3 linked regions of the Notamacropus eugenii genome follow. The protein of the gene in region 1 interacts with the protein of each later gene in a pairwise test. Links are inferred from orthologs where the notes say so. Each region holds a gene or a part of one and is shown on either strand. Other genes may lie near its edges.

The links.
Region 2: the proteins of DVL3 (region 1) and PITX1 interact in binary tests that used the Homo sapiens proteins (3 or more experiments, as listed by UniProt). The two-hybrid records come from large-scale screens. The link is inferred for Notamacropus eugenii from reciprocal best matches to the Homo sapiens genes DVL3 and PITX1.
Region 3: the proteins of DVL3 (region 1) and CSNK1D interact in binary tests that used the Homo sapiens proteins (3 or more experiments, as listed by UniProt). The two-hybrid records come from large-scale screens. The link is inferred for Notamacropus eugenii from reciprocal best matches to the Homo sapiens genes DVL3 and CSNK1D.

The regions. Positions count from the first base shown.
Region 1 is NC_092873.1:57,206,489-57,210,232, reverse strand, and holds the start of DVL3 (segment polarity protein dishevelled homolog DVL-3), read left to right. Parts: upstream 1-1,470; 5' UTR 1,471-1,613; coding exon 1,614-1,774; intron 1,775-3,744. UniProt on the Homo sapiens protein: Involved in the signal transduction pathway mediated by multiple Wnt genes.
Region 2 is NC_092872.1:339,788,910-339,792,653, forward strand, and holds the start of PITX1 (pituitary homeobox 1), read left to right. Parts: upstream 1-1,348; 5' UTR 1,349-1,503; intron 1,504-3,744. UniProt on the Homo sapiens protein: Sequence-specific transcription factor that binds gene promoters and activates their transcription. May play a role in the development of anterior structures, and in particular, the brain and facies and in specifying the identity or structure of hindlimb.
Region 3 is NC_092873.1:327,097,391-327,101,134, forward strand, and holds the start of CSNK1D (casein kinase I), read right to left. Parts: upstream 2,266-3,744; 5' UTR 1,928-2,265; coding exon 1,852-1,927; intron 1-1,851. UniProt on the Homo sapiens protein: Essential serine/threonine-protein kinase that regulates diverse cellular growth and survival processes including Wnt signaling, DNA repair and circadian rhythms. It can phosphorylate a large number of proteins.

The sequences.
Region 1 (3,744 bases):
AGGTGTGGGGTGTGGAGGCAGCCCTCTTGGGTATCTGGGGGCGGTGATGGGGCTGGCTGTGGGCCTGGGGAGAAGCCTCCTTCCACCCCAGAGCTGTGGGGCTCGAAGCCTGGGCAGGGCCAGACAGAGGGGGTGGTCCTGTGTGAGACACCTTGTACTGCCTTTGGCACAGCCTGCTGGGCCTTCACGGGCAGTATCTGGTCAGGAGGGTAATGGTGATGAGTTATCATGGCTCGGCCTGCTGCAGCCAGCTGGGGGTTCTAAAGAGTAGCCCCTCCTGCCTCTCACAACCAGGAAACAAATAAATCTTGACTGTTCCATCCTTTCTAAGTACTACCTCTGCTTCCGGCAGCCTGTGAGGAGGACAAAGGAAAAATAGAACTGTGTCTGCCCTCCAGGAGGCTGTTAGGGCGGGATGAGACAGGAGCACAAATGACCAGCAGGGCCATTTAGCAGCAAGTAAATGGCAGAGGAAGGGGATTGATGATTGTTAAAGGTTCAGAGAGGGAGGGCTGCCCACTGAGGAAGCCTCTGAGTTCGGGGGAGGGGACAGCAGGAACAGGACTAAGCCAGGAAAATTTGCAAAAGTCCAAGGAGGACCTTGGAATCAAGTTCGCTTTCACAGAGTTCATAAGGCAATAATTTCTTGAGACACAAGATGGTGCTGAATACCTCAGGAAAGCAGCTGGGACAAGTGGTTGGACCCACACTGGCCAACTGTTAAGGCTTTAAGGAATTGTAACATTGGTGGAGGAGATGGAGAAGTTGGCTATGGCCTCTTTCCTGGCAGAATGCCCCTGCTGGCCTGATTCTTATCAAACACCGGATGGAAGACCTGACTGCCTGCTGGTCAGATGGCCACTGGTACTTTTTCTGAGCATCTCTTTTCTCATCTGTAAGATGAGGATTTGTACCTCGAGTGGAGGACAAGGCTTAGTTATGTTGACTAGGAAACCAAGTCTTCACCTCCTGATAGACCTCCCTTAGCCAGTTCCCCCCTTGTAAAGAGCTGGGCGGCAGCGCTCCTGGCCCATGACCGGGCTGCTCCGAGCTTGCCCTGGAAGGCCCCCCACCTTGAGATCGGAGGTGGGAACAGAACCCCTGGCCTTGGATTCGGAGGCAGTTGCCATGCCCCTGAGGAGCTGTGATTGCGGCTGGACTCGCGGCGGAAGGGCCCATCCCGGTCCGTCGGGTTCTAAGTCCATCCCCGGGTTCTCCCCTACACCCGGGGCCACCCCGAAGCCTCCGTGGGGCTCACAAAGACTCGGAGAGCGGCCAGGGCCGTGGAGGGCCACTCCCCTCGCCTTTAAAGAGCTGGGAAGCCGAGTCGTGGGGTCGGGGCGCAGCGGAGGGACAGTGACCGGAGAATCCCGGGGCGGGGCTGCTGAGGAGGAGGGCTGCCGGAAGAGGCACCAAAGCCAGGGAGATTGGGAGAGCGGAAGCTGGAGAGGGGGGAGGCGGGGAGGCGGCCGGGCGGCGCTGGGACCCGGGGGCGGCCGCAGAACAAGGGAGCCGCTGCCGCCGCGGCCCGGAGAGCGAGCCGCCGAGCGCAGCGCCGCGCAGGCATCGGAGCCCAGCGCTCCGGCCGGGTCCGAGGCCAGGGCGCCGGGACCATGGGGGAGACCAAGATCATCTACCACCTGGACGGCCAGGAGACGCCGTACCTGGTGAAGCTGCCCCTGCCCGCCGAGCGCGTCACCCTGGCCGACTTCAAGGGCGTCCTGCAGCGGCCCACCTACAAGTTCTTCTTCAAGTCTATGGACGACGACTTCGGGTGAGCGTGGGCGCCGAGCGGGGAGCCCGGGGGCAGGACAGCGCCGAGGGGCCTCCGCCCAGGCCTGGCCCGGGGGGTGGGGGGGGCGGTGCCCACCGGGCACCCGTGCCAGCTGGCTGCCAGGAGCAAAACTTCGGGCTGGTGGGCGGTGCCGCCGCCACCGCACCCCCAAAGTGGCGGCTCTTTGGGGTCCCAGGGTCAGGTCCGCGGGTCTCGGGGGCTCCTCCTCTCCAGGCTGCTCGGAGCCCTAAGGGGCGGGAGCCACCGGCGAGGAGGATCTCTTTTCTCCGGGAGGCCCGGCCGGGGCTCTCCCCCTTTCCCCTTCGGGGCCTACACTCTTGCTCTAAGCCAGCCCCAATGCCCAGCATGGGGTGGGGGGGGATTTAGAAGAGAGACTTTCCCTTTAAGAGGGGATGGAATGTTGGAGCGAATGTTGCTGCAGCCGGAAGGTTTTGTAGCAGCTGGCCTGGAGAGGCCCCCCTTTCCCTCCTCCCCCTCCCCCCCAGCTCCCCTGGGAATGGGGGAGGGGCTCCCACTCAATCTGGCAGGAGAAGGGACTGGGGGCTAGGCTAGGAGGCCCCGTGGGGGTGGCCTGATAGGCTGCCTCCTCCGCTCCCCCCGTCCCCAAGTCTGGTTCTCTCCTTTCTCCACCCGGGTCCTGCTTTGTGGAAGGGAAGACCTCGAATTATGGGGAGGGGGTCATTCACCGTCCAGCCAGCTTCTTCTTCCAGGCTGGCCCATCCCTTCGAACAGAGAGAATCACTGGAGATGATAATACATGTAAAGTGCTTGGCCGGATCTGCAGATGTCAGCTCCCAGTATTACGGTCCTGCCCTGGCCCAGGAGGTCTCCATTTCTTACCCCTCCAGTTCTCTTGACCCAGGCAGCAAGAGGAGCCAGCAAAGAGGGCACCTGGGAGAAGACAGCAGGGTCAGGACCTTCAGTGGAGTTTGACTAATTTGGCCACATAGACATTGAATTCACCAAACATTGATTAGGTGCCTACTGTCTGCCTGATACTAGGAAAACAAAGAAAAAAGGAGCCTGCCCCTGTCCTCAAGGGGCTTCTGTTCTGCTCTATAGAACGGCAGACAGTAAATGGTACAGATGCCTAAATATGTGAGGTCACTTGAGAAATTGAGGAAGGTCTTCAGCAGGTTAGATGGGATCCAGTAGGATGAATTCATGGGAAAGCATGAATGGATTGAGATTTGCATTAGTGGAGGAGCCAAGTGAATCAGTTAGTTCATGGATATGTTGGAGGGTTCTTGAGGAGGGATTCAGGAAGGCTTTACTGGAAGAACTTACTCTGAAAGGAGAGAAGAGTTTTAAAAGAGAAGAGGGAGGAGGGCATCTTAGAGATGGGGATAATTTGGACAAAAGCCCAGAGGTAGGAAATGGAGCTCGTAGGCCAGCTTGGTTGGTATGTAGTAGACAAGAAGGAGGGTAGCATTAAAGTCAAGATGAGGAGTTTGTCTTTTATTCTAATGGCAAGGGAAGGCTCATGAAGGTTTGTCATCATTGATTGGATTTGTGTTTTGGGGAACATGATTTTAGCACCTGCATGGGAAGGGAAGGCTCATGAAGGTTTGTCATCATTGATTGGATTTGTGTTTTGGGGAACATGATTTTAGCACCTGCATGGGATGACTAGGAAAGTGGGAGACAAAGATGATGAGGGCCTTTTGAGCGGGATTTTAAAAAAAGGGGGGGGACTGTTGTGGGAGATTTAGAGGTGGAATTGACTGGATATGTCCTAAAAGGAAGAGGGAAGATGGAGGCTGAATGTGAGCTAACCACACTGGGGGTGTAGAGGAATGGTAGAATCCTCAACAGAAAGAGGGAAGTTTGGGGAAGGGGAAGGCTTTGAAACACCAACTGGACTTCCAGGGTGACATGTCCCCATTGTTGATGGACACAATTTGTAGGAAAGAAGCCAAAGAGGAAAATGAGGAGTGGATGGAAGATGG
Region 2 (3,744 bases), on another chromosome or scaffold:
CAGTTCTTAATTATACTTGATCTTTGGGGTATGCTTTGAGATAGGAGCTAGCTTCAGTCCCTGAGTTTTTCTTGGTGGAGGAGGTGGAAGAAGTAGAGGAGGACAGATGTCCATGAGGGAAACAAGCTAAGGAAATGAAGGCTACAGACCCAGGACCCAAGAAAGGTACAGTCTGTCTTTCTGTATCTCCCCTTTCCCAGCAAGCCCTTACAATATTTTGGATTTGTCAGTCAAATACTGGTATGGTGAAAAGAGCTCTCCATTCTGAGTCAGAAGACCAAGATTCCACTCCCACCCTTGTCATTCAGAAGCTGATCAGGGTGACTCATTTAACTTCGATGGGTCTCAGTTTTCTCATCTGTAAAATGTGAAGAAGAAGAATACGTTACTCACCTCACATAGCTCTTATGAGAAACAAATAAGATATCCGTCAAGTTGTGTGAAAACCTTAAAGCACTAAATTAGTGTAAGTTATTATTACTACTGATCTGTGCTGGGATTTGGGGCTGGAAGGGAGTAAGGAACAAGGTCCCTGCTTCTCATTCTAGTAGGAGGGTCAAGGATTCACAGAACCACCGCATGAATTGTTTGCATGTTAAAGTTACCCTAGAAAGAACTAAATGCAATCCAACCTGTTTCATTTTACAGATATGGCTTGCAGTGTGAAGCAAATGACCATTACGAGGAACACACAAAGGAGTCAATAGCAAAAGTAGCACTCGAACTCAGGTCTTTTGACTTCCAATGTTCTACACCATCTTCATCCCCTCTTTCCCCTCAATAGTGTCAGTGCCCGGGTCCAAAACTAACAAGCACAATCAGAGCCCAAAGCCGGTCAGAGCCGCCCCGCAGGGCGCGCCTATCCCAAGCAGGTTTGACTGGCAGCCTGTGCTTGTCGCTTCCTCTCTCTGACTGAGCAGCGGGTCCCGGACCGACACCAGGAGCCACCAAGGAAGACTCCACGAGCATCTGCCCTCTGCATCCGAAACTTCAACCCCCGAGGGTCTATGTGCCCCCTGGAATACCACCCCTCAGACATATACACAACCTGTAGGGTTTGGAGCTTAGAGCTAGGCTGACAATCTGATCCTGGGCCCCAGCACACACACACGCACACACACATACACACACACACACACACACACACACGCACGCACGCAAGTATACACGAGTCCCCACAGCAGCTTAGTCCTCTTGGAGTGACTGCTAAATCATTGTTCCCCTCATTCATACCCCAGGCTCCGTCTGCCCGCCGTGACTCTCAAGTTTAGGGTTCCCTCTGTGCCCCAGACCCCCCAGCTCTTGAACCCCCTCTCTCCGCCCTCGGGACCGCAGCTTCGAGCGTCTCCGCCCTGTGTCCCTGCCCCGCCCCGTCCCCCGCCCTCCTCGTGGGCTCCAAGCAACAGGAGGAGCGAGCCTGGGTCGAGGCTACCCTGGAGCTGTGGGCTCTAAGCTTTGAGTTTGCGGCCGCCAACCCCTGAGTCCACAGTGACCAGCACCAAGGTGGGTAAGAGCACAGCTTTGGGGAACCAGAAAAGGGAGGTTGAAGGGACGGGACCTGGGGGGGGACAAATGGTAGGGAGCAGAGGGAGATGTTGCTTGGGATGAGGCTAGGGGAACTCCCCACCGGCGGTGGCCCCGGCTGTTCCCCGTTAGGCTACTGAGAGCCTGAGAGCGCTCCACTCTGGGTAACCCTAATTGCCCGAGCCAGAACCACGCCGCTTCCTGCTAATATTGCTCCTTCCTCAGTCCCCGTTTTTGCCAACCGGGGCCTCCTGGCACCTAAGTCCGTGTTTCGGGCCCTGGCCGGCCTGATACCAGGGCTGATCAGACCTGTCTGCCAGCCGAGAAAGGAGCTTTAACTGTTTGAAGGACCGCCCTCCGGAGAAAGGAGCAGAAATGGAGAGGGGGCGCGGAAGCAGTTGGCATAGCAGAGCAGAGAAGTGGAAGGGAACCGGGAGCGGCGGGAAATGTGAGGTAAAAGCTGGGCAGACTAATAGACACACTCTCCCTCTTCCGGGTCCAGTGCTGGAAGTCTTGCCTTTGGCCAGTTGTTTTCCAGATGTGCGTTGTGAGTCTGACTTGGGCGGCTCTGAGTTATAGGAAGGACGATCTCTCCAACCAGGCAGTTTTTAAGGTTGACTGATACTTGGCGTTCCGGGTGCGTTTGGGGGGGCCTGTCAAAGTCTAGCGCGCTGCTGAGCAGACGAGTTCGGTGCGGGAGCAAGGCTTACACGGTGTGTGTGCACATCGAGAGTTGCTTAGAACTGGATCTATATGTGATTGTGTGTTTTTCCTGGGACTGTGGGGGCCGCTGACGCTCAGGATGGTCCAGGGTTCCGCACTCTGCTGACCCACCTCCCCAGTCGCAGAGCCTCCTTGCCTCTGCCCGAGGTTCCGAATGCCCCGGGTGCCGCCGGCCTTCGCTTCGTAGCCTAAGTCCTTGACAAATTTATACCTCGTGTAAATTCTTTAGGAGTTCTGCGCTTCGTCAAAACTGACAAATGCGCTGGGAAATTTAATTCCAGTGGGCTGACCTCACTTTACACGCGGCGATTTCATCCCAAAGAAAAAAGCCGTCCGGGGCCCGAGACCGGCGGTGCCTGGGTGGGGAGAGTTGGGGGCGGGGGGCACGCGGACGAGTGGGAACTGTAGGTAGGAAGAGGAGGAAGAGGGCTTGGCCGACCCCAGACACGTTCACCCTTACCCAAAGTGCTAGCTGATAGGATGGGGAGTGGGGGATCCAGGAAAGGAAGCCAGCTGTAGGGGGGCTGGGGAGAGAGGGGAGGGAGAGTGGAGAGGAAGAAAAATTGGTCGCTGTGACAAGTAGCCAATTTTAACGTATCTAGTAAATGTTATACTTTTATGGACAGCGTTTGCTGGGCTTTTACAGGCTGCAGTAGCCACTTGATCCAGCGCCTTAAAGGGATCCCGGGAAAAGCGAACGTTTTGCCCTGCCTTAGCCTCTGCAATTCAGCCGCTCACCCACCTAGTGCTGAGGCTTAACCTGCAGGTGTCCTTTGGCGGGGGTCGGGGAAAAGAGAGCGTACTCTCAAGGGCACTTCGTTGCCTAAAGAGAAAAGAGGCAGGGTGCTCTATAAGAAGAAAAGGCGAAATTGTATGGGCCTGTGGCTATGTGTCTATGCCCCCTTTCCTTTCAGAGGGACAGTGGCCAAGCCTATGGCCTTGCATTGACGCCCGAGGCGGGGACCTAAGTTGGAGGAGGGAAGGGCTCTATCTTTTTTCCCAAAACTATGCTCCTAATACTCAAAGTCTGGGGAGAATTGGGGAAGAATAAGGGAGTGCACAAACTTTCATATCTGGTTCAGTGGGGAAAATACAATCTGCTTTTTATTTTTTAAATAGAAAAAAATGTCCTTAGATCCTTAAAACCAAATACCAGTTTCCCTAGGCTGAGCTGTGAGGTTATGGGTCTAAATTGGAGGGGCTGGGGTCCAAGGTTTAACCTTCACCCTGTCTGCTTTGCTCCAGACCTTTGGTTCTTGTTCACTGGGCCTTGGTTTCCTACTCTCTAAAGTGGAGAGACAGGGAAAGGAGGGTGGAGAGGGGATGGAGGGAAAAGCTCTGTTCCTTTCTTTTTGCACTCTCTTCGGGGAGAACAAGGACTGGTCGCCGCCAAATAAAGAGCTGGCTGTACAGAAGAGAGAATCGCCAACTTCTCAATGGCTCTCCCGGTCAAGTCTGAACTCGGGACTGTAAGCTACTGGCATCCAGATTCGAGAA
Region 3 (3,744 bases), about 270 Mb from region 1:
TTCTCCATTTATGACTCTAATCATGGTTGCTACTGTTGTCAAGTTTATGTTTGGTAGGAAAAAAGGAACTAAAGCAAGAACGTATCTGTAACAAGGTTGCTGTAGGAACTGTAACTGTGGAATTTCCGGACTTTTGACTAGTGTGTAGTTCTCCATTTCCACACTGCATTAGCGTTGTTTTGACATTTTCCCCCACGAGTACAAAACACATGGAGATTATTGAACACATGGGGATCCCAGAGAGAGCAGTAAGATGGGGCTGTAGAGTCTTCTGAAAGAGACATGGCCTTTGTTTATTTTTGGACAATACAGTGGAGAGGTAGCAAAAGCCCTACCCTATCCTCTCTAAAAAGCACAGACACAGTTACAGTAATCTGATCACCAGTCTCTTAGATCTTCACTGAAAATGCAAAGATTTCCTTTGGTGCACTGTGTTACACCATCCCAGGTAACTAAGAACACAGCTCTCTCAGATATTTACTTACTGGCAATTGCATTATAGCAAATATAGCCATCCATTACAATAAATACCCCCTTCATAATACCATATCTAAAAAAAAAATAAAACATAATAGTTATTTGAACTCAAATCCACAGCACTATTGACACAAAAATTTATTTCTTCATTCAGACTCTTAACCATATTAATTTCAGGAAGCAATATATTTCAAACTGTTCTAACTTTCAAGAGCTACTGCTGATTTCATCCCTTAATTTCAAAGCCAAAAGAAGCAATCTGGTATAAAGGAGAGAAATACGAATCCGGGAGTCAGAAATGGGTTTGAGTTCAAGCTCTATCATGAATAAGCTGTATGACCTTGAACGTGTAAAAAAACCTCTTCGAGGCCTCAGTTTCCTAAGCTATAAAAATGGGGGATGAGGAGCAGGAGAGATGGACTGCTTAAGGTAACTTCCATCTCTAACATTCTAATAAAACCCTAGGGTCGAAGTTCTGCTGATGAAATGTGAATTAACCTTCCCCTTGATGTTAAGATCTTTTCCAAAGAAATTATTTTGGAGACTCAAAAAGTCAGACCTAGAATCAGGAAAAAATTAGTATCAGACCTTCCATGACCCTCTAACCCCCAATCAGTTCGGGTTCCTGAGCCCTCAAGCCAATGATCTGGTCTCCTAGGGCAGGGCCAGAATCTGATTGGGGGAGGTGGGGGTGGGAAAAGGTGGGGAGTTGAGAACAGGATGGATGGATGGTCTGAGTGGTTAGAACCTAAAGCTGTTACACCAGGGGGTCTTAGATCTCCCCCAAGGATTCACCAGAGAAGCAAAATGATTCACTCTCAGAAGGGGCTAAAGTAATTACAAGCAACCAAACAGGACGCTGGAAAAAGTCTCACACCCTCCAGGCTCCCCGCTCTTTCCCCTCCCCCCGGCCATTAATTAGCTCATGGGGAAGGCAAACCCCAAAGGCCAGCCCAACCAGGTTTCCCAGGCAGGTGTCAGCTGCTCCAGGGGCTCGAGACTCGAGTTCGATTCCCCCGGAGAGCCGGAGATGGCCACCGAGGGGTATGAGGACCGAGCCCAGGCTGCGGCTCAACAAAGGTGCTGGGGTGGGGTGGGGTGTTTTGTCTGGGCTGAGGTACACCACAGTAATGGGGAAACCTGGGGCAGAGGGTAATGGGGGGAGAGCATCCCGGGGTGATGAAAGGCTATGATGGTCCAGGAAGACTGGCGGAAGCGACGAGAGGGCAGGAGCCGGGGGCGGGGGGGGGTGGCAATGCGGGGCTGGGGGGTGAAAGGAAGCCGAGTGTATGGGGGGGGCAGTATGGAAAGGGGGGTAGTTCGCTGCGGGAGCAGGGCCGGGGGGGGGGGAGGGGACTGGGCTTCAATCCTCACCAAGATAGATGTCTCCAAAGGAGCCGCTGCCGATCTTTCGGCCCAGCCGGTACCTGTTCCCAACTCTCAGCTCCATGACGGTGGTGGCTTCGGCTCCGGCCTGGTTCGCTCCCTCCCCTCCCGACCGCTTCCTGGGTCTGCGCTCCGGGGGAGGCGGCGCCGCTGCTGCCGCTAATGCGGGTCCGGCTCCCGGCTCCGCCCCCCTCACGGCCCCGCTTTCACCATCGCTTTCCGGCCGCCCCGCCGCTCCCAGCGCCTCAATATGGGGCGGATGGGACAGTCCGAGCGCCGCCGCCCCTGCTCCGGCCCCCGCCGGCCCCGTTCGCCCTCTCCCCACCACGGATGGACTCGGATCTTCCGGGCCTAAATCCCACTTCAGCCGCCTAAAGGAGCCGCCGCCATCGCGCTGTGACGTCACTTCCCCTAGCAACCCGGCGGGGCGGGGCCCGCGCTGCTCTGGGGACACCAGCGGGGCGGGGGCGGGGAGAGCGGAGTGTGAGGGCAAAGGCGGCCGGAGCCTGCGGCTGGGCGGGTGGGCTGGGGGTGAGAGCCTCCCTGGGCTTGTGTGGTGCGCCTGGCCCGATCGGTTTGGCCGTGGTCTCTTGGAGGACGTGTCAGTAGTGACTCACCTGGGGAAAGCCGAGCCTTACCTGTACATCAGCCCCCCCCGCCGCACCCCTAGGCAGTGACCCGTCCAGATCCCCCCCGTCCAGACCCCCCCGTCCACCTAACACTTCCTTTTCTAAACCAGCCCCCCTCTGCCATTGAGACCCTCTCCAAAGCCTCTGAAACAAACCCCCGAAATGGGGAGAGCCGAGGAGAAGGCTGGGGTCCCAGACCCCTTTGGCTCAGTTCTACCTGATCACCGCCCAGACGGCACTGGGGAAAGATTCTCGGGTTCGGGATCAGTTTCCCCCACCTCCTCGTGGGCCCAAAGGAGCCTGTGGCCCGAGCCTGTCCTCACCGGCCTCTCCGTGGTCAGGGCAGGGGCAGGACTGGAGGCAAACAAGCTGGGGAGAGGAAGCCCTGCAGAATGTCCACTTAGCCCTCTTCTTGTCCTGGGCAGCTGGAGGCAGGGGAAGAGGCGGTCTTTTAAGAGCCCAAGAAAGCAAAGACTTGGGGCCCTTGTCTTGGAGTCTCGGGAAAATGGGAGTTCTCAGCAGCCTTTGAAATCCATGGTGGAGAACTCTCTCTCTCTGTCTTTGTGTCTCTCTGTCTCTCCCTGTCTCTCTCTCTCTGTCCCTCTCTGTCTCACTCTCTGTCTCTCTCTCTCTCTCTGTCCCTCTCTCCCTCTCTGTCTCTCTCTCTGTCTCTCTGTCTCTCTCTCTCTGTTCCTCTCTCTCTCACCTAGACCTGTAGGATGAAAAATAGCCAAGCCTCACAAGAGAAAAAAACAAAAACAGAGAAAGGGTAAGGGAAGGTGTAGAGAAGGGATTTCAGTTGACAAAGGCCCTATAACTGTAATCCCTTATTACAAGAGATTCAAAATGTGGACGGCCCTTCTGAAGTATTCAGAGGAAGCCCACCGTCCAGTCTTTCTCCTTAATCTATACTGAATTGCTACCTACATCCAACTCCAAGCCTTACTGCTGACTGTCTTAGACTTTTGCACTAACATGCTTCACCTTGGAAGTTTACTTCACCTCTGGAATTCTCATACTGGAATTGCCCTCTGCCCACTTGAGCCTCTCCCTCTGGTTACCGGGTTGCTTTCTAAGCCTTCATTTTAAGAAGGATGCCCCAGTCAACCATGTCTTATTCCTCTTTAGGCTGTGCTTCTGACTTTCCCCAATTTTCCGTACCATTCCCCATCTCTTCCGGTGGGTACCCTTTCTCTCCCCTCCACTTCCTTCATGTTAGAAAGTAAGCTCCTTGAGAACAGGAAATATTTTT